Anolis sagrei: one gene and its partner. The protein of the gene in region 2 interacts with the protein of the main gene of each other region in a pairwise test. Links are inferred from orthologs where the notes say so. Each region holds a gene or a part of one and is shown on either strand. Other genes may lie near its edges.

What was found.
Region 1: the proteins of DHX30 (region 2) and YTHDF1 interact in a two-hybrid assay, tested with the Homo sapiens proteins (2 studies listed by BioGRID, with this or other methods). The link is inferred for Anolis sagrei from reciprocal best matches to the Homo sapiens genes DHX30 and YTHDF1.

The regions. Positions count from the first base shown.
Region 1 is NC_090024.1:235,215,828-235,219,427, forward strand, and holds the start of YTHDF1 (YTH domain-containing family protein 1), read right to left. Parts: upstream 2,180-3,600; 5' UTR 1,652-2,179; coding exon 1,625-1,651; intron 1-1,624.
Region 2 is NC_090026.1:130,717,985-130,721,935, forward strand, and holds the start of DHX30 (ATP-dependent RNA helicase DHX30), read right to left. Parts: upstream 2,888-3,951; 5' UTR 2,871-2,887; coding exon 2,681-2,870; intron 1-2,680.

The DNA.
Region 1 (3,600 bases), on a different chromosome or scaffold from region 2:
ATAATATCAACACAGAGTCCACACTGCCATATATTCCAGTTCAAAGCAGAAAATGTGGGATTTTTTTCAACTATGTAGAACAGGCATGGGAGGGGACAGGAGAACCATGTTTAAATATTTGAAGCCATGTCACATTGAGGAGAAAGAGACAGACTTGTTTTCTCCTGTGTCCTACTCTCACTGAGTAATGGATTGGAATTGTAGGAAAGGAGATGCCACCTAAAAATAAGGAAGGTTTTCCTGACAGTAAGGACCCTTCAACACTGCCATATAGAATCCACATCTGCTTTGAACTGGATTATATGGCAGTGTAGACTCATATAATCCAGTTCAAAGCAAATGTGGATTATCTGCTTTGATAATCTGGATTGTATGGCAGTGTAGAAGGGGCCTACGAATGTGCTTCCCAGGAGGTTGGTGGGGTCTCCTTCCCAGGAGGTTTTTAAGCAGAGGCTGGGTCAGGAGTGTTTGGGTGATATTTTTCCACACGGGGTTGGACTGGAGGGCCCTTGTGGCTGCTTCCATCTCTATAATCAAAGGCCTCTTCCACACAGCTATATACAATCCCACATTATCTGCTCTGAACTGGGTTATATGGTAGTGTGGACTCACATAACTGGGATCCATTCAACACAGCCATATAACCCAGAATATCAAGGCAGGTAATTCACAACATCTGCTTTGAACTGGGGTACCTGAGTCCACACTGCCATATATCCCAATTCAAAACAGATATGGTGGATTGGGTCCCTTGATATTCTGGATTATATGGTTGTGTGGAAGGGCCCTGAATCCACATTGCAATACATTTTAGGCCCCTTCCACACAGCTAAATAAAATCCATCATTATCTGCTTTGAACTGGATTATATAGCAGTGTGGATTCAGATAACCCAGTCCAAAGCAGATATTTTGGGTTATTCTGCCTTGATATTCTGGGTTATATGGCTGTGTGGAAGGGCCCTCATATAACCCAGGGCCCTTCCTGAAAGGCTCTATATCCCAGGATCTGATCCCAGGTTTTCTGCTTTAAACTGGATTATACGAGTCACACTGCCAGATAATCTGGGATAAACAGATAACATGGAATCAGATCCTGGGATACTGGGCCTGTCTGGAAGGCCACCAAGTTTAAAGCGGATATCGTGGGATTTTCTGCCTTGATATTCTGAGGCCTCTTCCACACAGCTGAATAAAATACCACATTTTTCTGCTTTGAACTGGATTATATGAGCCACCACTGCCAGATAATCTGGGATGAACAGATAACATGGGATCAGATCCTGGGATACTGGGCCTGTCTGGAAGGCCACCAAGTTTAAAGGAGATATCGTGGGATTTTCTGGGTTATATCACTGGGCCCTATAACCCAGAATATCAAGGCGGAAAATCCCACCATATCTGCTTTGATGGGATATCTGAGTCCACACTGGCATATATCCCAGTTCAAAGCAGAAAATGTGGGGTTTTATTCAGCTGTGTGGCAGGCCCAAGCAGCCCAACCTTATTTGGCCAGGCAGGAAAGAGAAGAAAAAATCAAAGCCCTGTTGGAAGGAGAAGACCACCCACCCCCAAATAATACACATTTCCAAGACTCCTCTCCCCTCCAAGCTCGACCCACTTACCTGGGGGTCAACGCTGGTGGCAGACATCTCTCATGCGCCTCGAAATATGGGGAGGGAGAGGGGGGAAGGGGGAGGAGAAGGAGGAGGAGGGGGCGAGGCCTTGCGTGGGAGTGGGGCGCCTCGTGGGTGGGCGAGCGGGCTTCCCCCCCTCCCGCCTTGGGCTTATCCCGGGAGGAGGGAGTGTGTGTGGCTGGTGGGGAGGAAGAGGGAGGTGGTGCATGCGCGTAGCCAGGAGGAGGGAAAAAGGGAGGAGGGAAGAGGAGGGAGAAGGCCGCGCGCAGGCGCAGTAGCTCCTTCGTGCGCTCGCGCTCTCTCTCCTCTCACATCGCTCCTCTTCCACACAGACAAGGCCTCAAGAAGAAGAAGCAACCGCTACTCCTCCTCCACCTCCTCCGCTTCTTCAATTCTTTCTCTCCTCGGCCTCTTCCCGGGTTTACATTCCTCTCTCGTCGTTTCCTAATCCCGCCTCCCCCCTTCTTCCCTGATCTCCAATGGCGGACAAGGAGCGGGAGGCGGTGACGTCAACGCCTCTGCCGCGCAAGGCATGCCGGGAGGGGGAAGAAACCTTCCACACACAGGAAAGGAAAAAAGGAGGGGAGTGTCGCCCGTTGCGCATGCGTAGTACCGAGCAGCGACGGCCGTTGGGCGCGAGGGCGAGCAGGAGCCCCGCCCCCTTTCCAGGAGGGCAGTTTTTTTTTTAAGTTCCCGCCCAAGTCAATGATTGACAGACTGGGAAGAGGCGGGGCTTGTTTATGAACAAGGCTATAAAAGGAGGGCAAAGGCGTGACTGGTTTCTCAGACTCAAGTTGGAATCATAGAATCAAAGAGTTGGAAGAGACCTCATGTGCCATCCTGCCAAGAAGCAGGAATGTTGCATTCAAATCACCCCTGACAGATGGCCATACAGCCTCTGTTTAAAAGTCTCCAAAGAAGGAGCCTCCACCACACTCCGGGGCAGAGAGTTCCACTGCTGAATGGCTCTCACAGGAAGTTCTTCCTCATGTTCAGTCCAACCCCCTGCCAAGAAGCAGGAATGTTGCATTCAAATCACCCCTGACAGATGGCCATACAGCCTCTGTTTAAAAGTCTCCAAAGAAGGAGCCTCCACCACACTCCGGGGCAGAGAGTTCCACTGCTGAATGGCTCTCACAGGAAGTTCTTCCTCATGTTCAGTCCAACCCCCTGCCAAGAAGCAGGAATGTTGCATTCAAATCACCCCTGACAGATGGCCATCCAGCCTCTCTTTAAAAGTCTCCAAAGAAGGAGCCTCCACCACACTCCAGGGCAGAGAGTTCCACTGCTGAATGGCTCTCACAGGAAGTTCTTCCTCATGTTCAGATGGAATCTCCTCTCTTGTCGTTTGAAGCCATTGTTCTGCGTCCTAGTCTCCAAGGAAGCAGAAAACAAGCTTGCTCCCTCCTCCCTGTGGCTTCCTCTCACATATTTATACATGGCTATCATATCTCCTCTCAGCCTCAGAGTGATTCTCTTTAGGAAAGGAAAGCAGCGGTGGTTCTCTTCAGAAACCGCCCTCCCCACTTCAAAGCGATTTACTATACTCAAGACAATACAAATTACAATCTAAAACCCACAACATACAAACATTAAAAACGATCTTAACAGATTAAAGAGCTGAGCCAAAACTAACAAAATGAATGGGTTGTTGTAGGTTTTTTTCGGGCTATATGGCCATGTTCTAGAGGCATTCTCTCCTGACATTTTGCCTGCATCTATGGCAAGCGTCCTAAGAGGTTGTGAGGTCTGTTGGAACTAGGAAAATTGGGTTTATATATCTGTGGAATGACTGGGGTGGGACAAAGAACTTAAAAGCCAACAATGTGATGTGGTGGCAAAAAAAGCCAATGAGATTTTGGCCTGCATCAATAGGAGCATAGTATCTAGATCCAGGGAAGTCATGCCCCCCATGCTCTGTTCCGCCTTGGTTAGACCACATCTGGAATATTGTGTCCAATTCT
Region 2 (3,951 bases):
TATTCCAAAGAGACAAAGCATGCAAATAAACACAACAAAGAGCATTCATATTGTACAATAGGCGGTCAGATGTTTAAATCAAAGTGCATGTTCACACGTGTTTTCCCCCAATATGCCTACTTCTAATATGGGTCAATGGACCATCTTATAAAACTGTTGTAGAATTGGTGCATCTGCGAATATGCAAGTGAAATAGTTCTTCCTTGACAATAGTTACCAGGTGCAGGAGTTAATGAGGGTAATGAGACCTTGAATGGGAAAAGAAGTTTCAGTAAGCAGAGATGGTCCGTGCAGCAATTAAGACGCTCAGCTAGATTTCAACAGAATATAATAATAATAATAATACTTTATTTGTACCCTGCTACCATCTCCCCAAGGGACATGGTGCGGCTTACATGAGGCCAAGCCCGCAGTACATTAATAAAACAAAGGCAATAACAAAATAATCAATACAAAACAGTAAAATAAATCTCAAAAGAAAAATAAACAATAAACAGTAAGAAGCACCAGTTAGCAACCTGGCTGCCGCCCATTGTACCAACTGAAATTTCTGGGCCATTTTCAAGAGCAGCCCCACGTAGAGTGCATTACAGTAATCCAATCTGGAGGTGACTAAGGCATGGACCACCCTGGCCAGATCTGACTTCACGAGGTACGGTCGCAGCTGGCACACGAGTCTGGCGGCACCGCCGACCCCTGAGCTTCAAGCGTAAGTGATGAATCCAGGACACCCAGACTGCAGACCTGTGACTTCAGGGGGAGTGCAAACCCGTCCAGCACAGGTTGCCACCCTATACCCCGATCCGGATTACGATCGACCAGGAGGACCTCTGTCTTGTCGGGAGTGATCCTCAGCTTGTTCCTCCTCATCCAGATAGCCACAGTGGCCAGGCACTCGTCCAGCACCCTAGGGGCTTCCTTGAAGTTAGGTGGAAAAGAGTAGTAGAGTTGCGCGTCATCTGCATAGAGATGGCACCCAAGTCCAAAACTCGGGATGACCTCTCCCAGCAGTGTAATTTCTCCAGTGGTGTAGGGCGCAGACACCCTGTGATAATGTGGCATGTCTCATTCACAGCTACATCCACTGTTTTAGTGTGGTGAGATGTGTTCCACACTGGGCATGCGTACTCAGCAGCAGAGTAGCACAGCGCAAAGGCAGATGTCTTCACTGTGTCTGGTTGTGATTCCCCGGTTGTGCCAGTCAGCTTTCGTATATTGTTTCTGCCACCCACTTTTTGGTTCAGGCAGTGCTTCTTGTAGGTTATTATTATTATTATTATTATTATTATTATTATCACATACAAATTAAACATTAAAAACAATATAAAACCACAACCGAAACAATAAAACCAACATCATTAGCGTCTCCTAGTTAAAAACATTGTCCGATTCCATTGTCAGGTGATTCCATTTCCTATGTCAGTTACTCTACATTTGTAAACGCTTGCTGAAACAACCATGTCTTAGTGGGTTGTTGTAGGTTTTTTCGGGCTGTATGGCTATATGGAAGAAACATTAACAACCTCAGATATGCAGATGACACCACTCTGATGGCCGAAAGCGAGGAGGAGCTGAGGAACCTTCTAATCAAGGTGAAAGAAGAAAGCGCAAAAGCTGGGTTGCAGCTAAACATAAAAAAAACCAAGATTATGGCAACAAGAATGATTGACAACTGGAAAATAGAGGGAGAAAATGTGGAGGCCGTGACAGACTTTGTATTTCTAGGTGCAAAAATTACTTTAGACGCAGACTGTAGCCGGGAAGACGCTTACTTCTTGGGAGGAGAGCAATGTCCAGTCTCGATAAACTAGTGAAGAGTAGAGACATCAGACTGGCAACAAAGATCCGCCTAGTCAAAATTCATGCCTTTTAGTTAAGTGAATGATTGACAACTGGGAAATAGAGGGAGAAAACGTGGAGGGCGTGACAGACTTTGTATTTCTAGGTGCAAAGATGAGTGCAGATGCAGACTGTGGCCGGGAAATCAGAAGACACTTCCTTCTTGGGAGGAGAGCAATGTCCAATCTCGATAAAACAGTCAAGAGTAGAGACATCAGACAGGCAACAAGGATCCTTTGCCTAGTCAAAGCCATGGTCTTCCCTGTAGTCACCTACGGATGTGAGAGCTGGACCTTAGGGAAGGCTGAGCGAAGGAAGAGAGATGCTTTTGAGCTGTGGTGCTGGAGGAAAGTGCTGAGAGTGCCTTGGACTGCGAGAAGATCCAACCAGTCCATCCTCCAGGAAGTAAAGCCCGGCTGCTCACTGGAGGGATGGATACTACAGACAAAGCGGAAGTCCTTAGGCCACATCATGAGGAGACAGCAAAGCCTAGAGAAGACAATGATGCTGGGGAAAGTGGAAGGCCAAAGGAAGAGGGGCCGACCAAGGGCAAGATGGATGGATGGCATCCTTGAAGTGACTGGACTGACCTTGAAGGAGCTGGGGGTGGTGACGGCCGACAGGGAGCTCTGGCGTGGGCTGGTCCATGAGGTCACGAAGAGTCGGAGACGACTGAACGAATGAACAACAATGGCTATATGGTCTATACAGCATGCCCTTGATCTCTCTCTCTCTCTCTCTACGTGAGGCTCAATTCCGGGGCTTATTTCCAAGCAAGAGACGGAGAGGCCCTCCCCCCCCCCCCATCATGCACAAGGACAACTACAGGCCTGCGGCTCACCCACGCGCCCCATCTCGCCCTCGCTCTCCCCGTCGCTCTCATCCGCCGCTGTTGCCCCGGAGGCCTGCTCGCAGAGGCCCCTCCGCCACAAAGAAGCGGCAGCGGCAGAAGCGCTTCCCCCACCGAGGCCGGGCCTGGGCCACAGCGCGCCCGCCACAAACGCCTGCAGCAGCCGGCTGGGCGCCGCCATCTTTGAGAAAGAGAGCCGGGGCGCGCACGGCGACGACGTCACGCCCGGCGCGCCTGCGCTTTTGTGGCATCTTCACCTCCGCCCCTGCCGCGCCATCTAGCGGGCGGCTGCCTGGCACTGCAGGGGAGCATCCAGACAAAAACACAGAGGGGAGGAAAAAAGGACCAGGAGGCAGTGATATAGTAATAGATCAGGCATGGGCAAACTTGGGCCCTCCCTCCAGGTGTTTTGGACTCCAACTCCCACCATTCCTAATTTATTTATTTATTTATTTATTTACTGCATTTGTAGACCGCCGTTCTCAGCCCTAGGGCGACTCACGGCGGTGTACAACATATAAAAAACAATTTACAAAAAAGCAATATCATAAACAACAATAACAACATCGGTATCAATAATACAATTACACTAAGTCATTCGCGACGTCTCATCGTAGAATCACAATCCAATCTCGTTATCCATATTCCGTTCCAATCATCATTGCTAATTTGTTGTAGCACTTAGTCAAACGCCTTCTCAAACAACCACGTCTTTAGTCTCTTGCGGAATGTCATAAGGGAGGGCGCCTGTCTGATATCTACAGGGAGGGTGTTCCACAGCCGGGGGGCCACCACCGAGAAGGCCCTCTCCCTCGTCCCCGCCAGGCGTGCCTGTGAGGCGGGCGGGATCGAGAGGAGGGCCTCCCCAGACGATCTCAAGGTCCTCGTGGGCTCGTAGGCCGAGATGCGGTCAGACAGGTATTTTGGGCCGGAACCGTTTAGGGCTTTGTAGGCCAACACCAGCACCTTGAATTGGGCCAGGGAGCAGATCGGCAGCCAGTGGAGCTGGGACAACAAGGGCGTTGTGTGCTCCCTGCGTCCCGCTCCTGTTAGTAATATGGCTGCCGCGCGCTGGACTAGCTGAAGCTTCCGGGCCGTCTTTAATTCCAAATCAATTCTGCCTGAGTGGGGATTTGGACCCTTGGCTGCATCTAGAAGCAGATGGCAAAAACAGAAGAATGGCCTGCCCCAGGGGAGTGTGCTTGCTCCATCCATGTTCAACACCTTAAGAATAGACAAGCATCCCGAGCTCTGAGGATCCC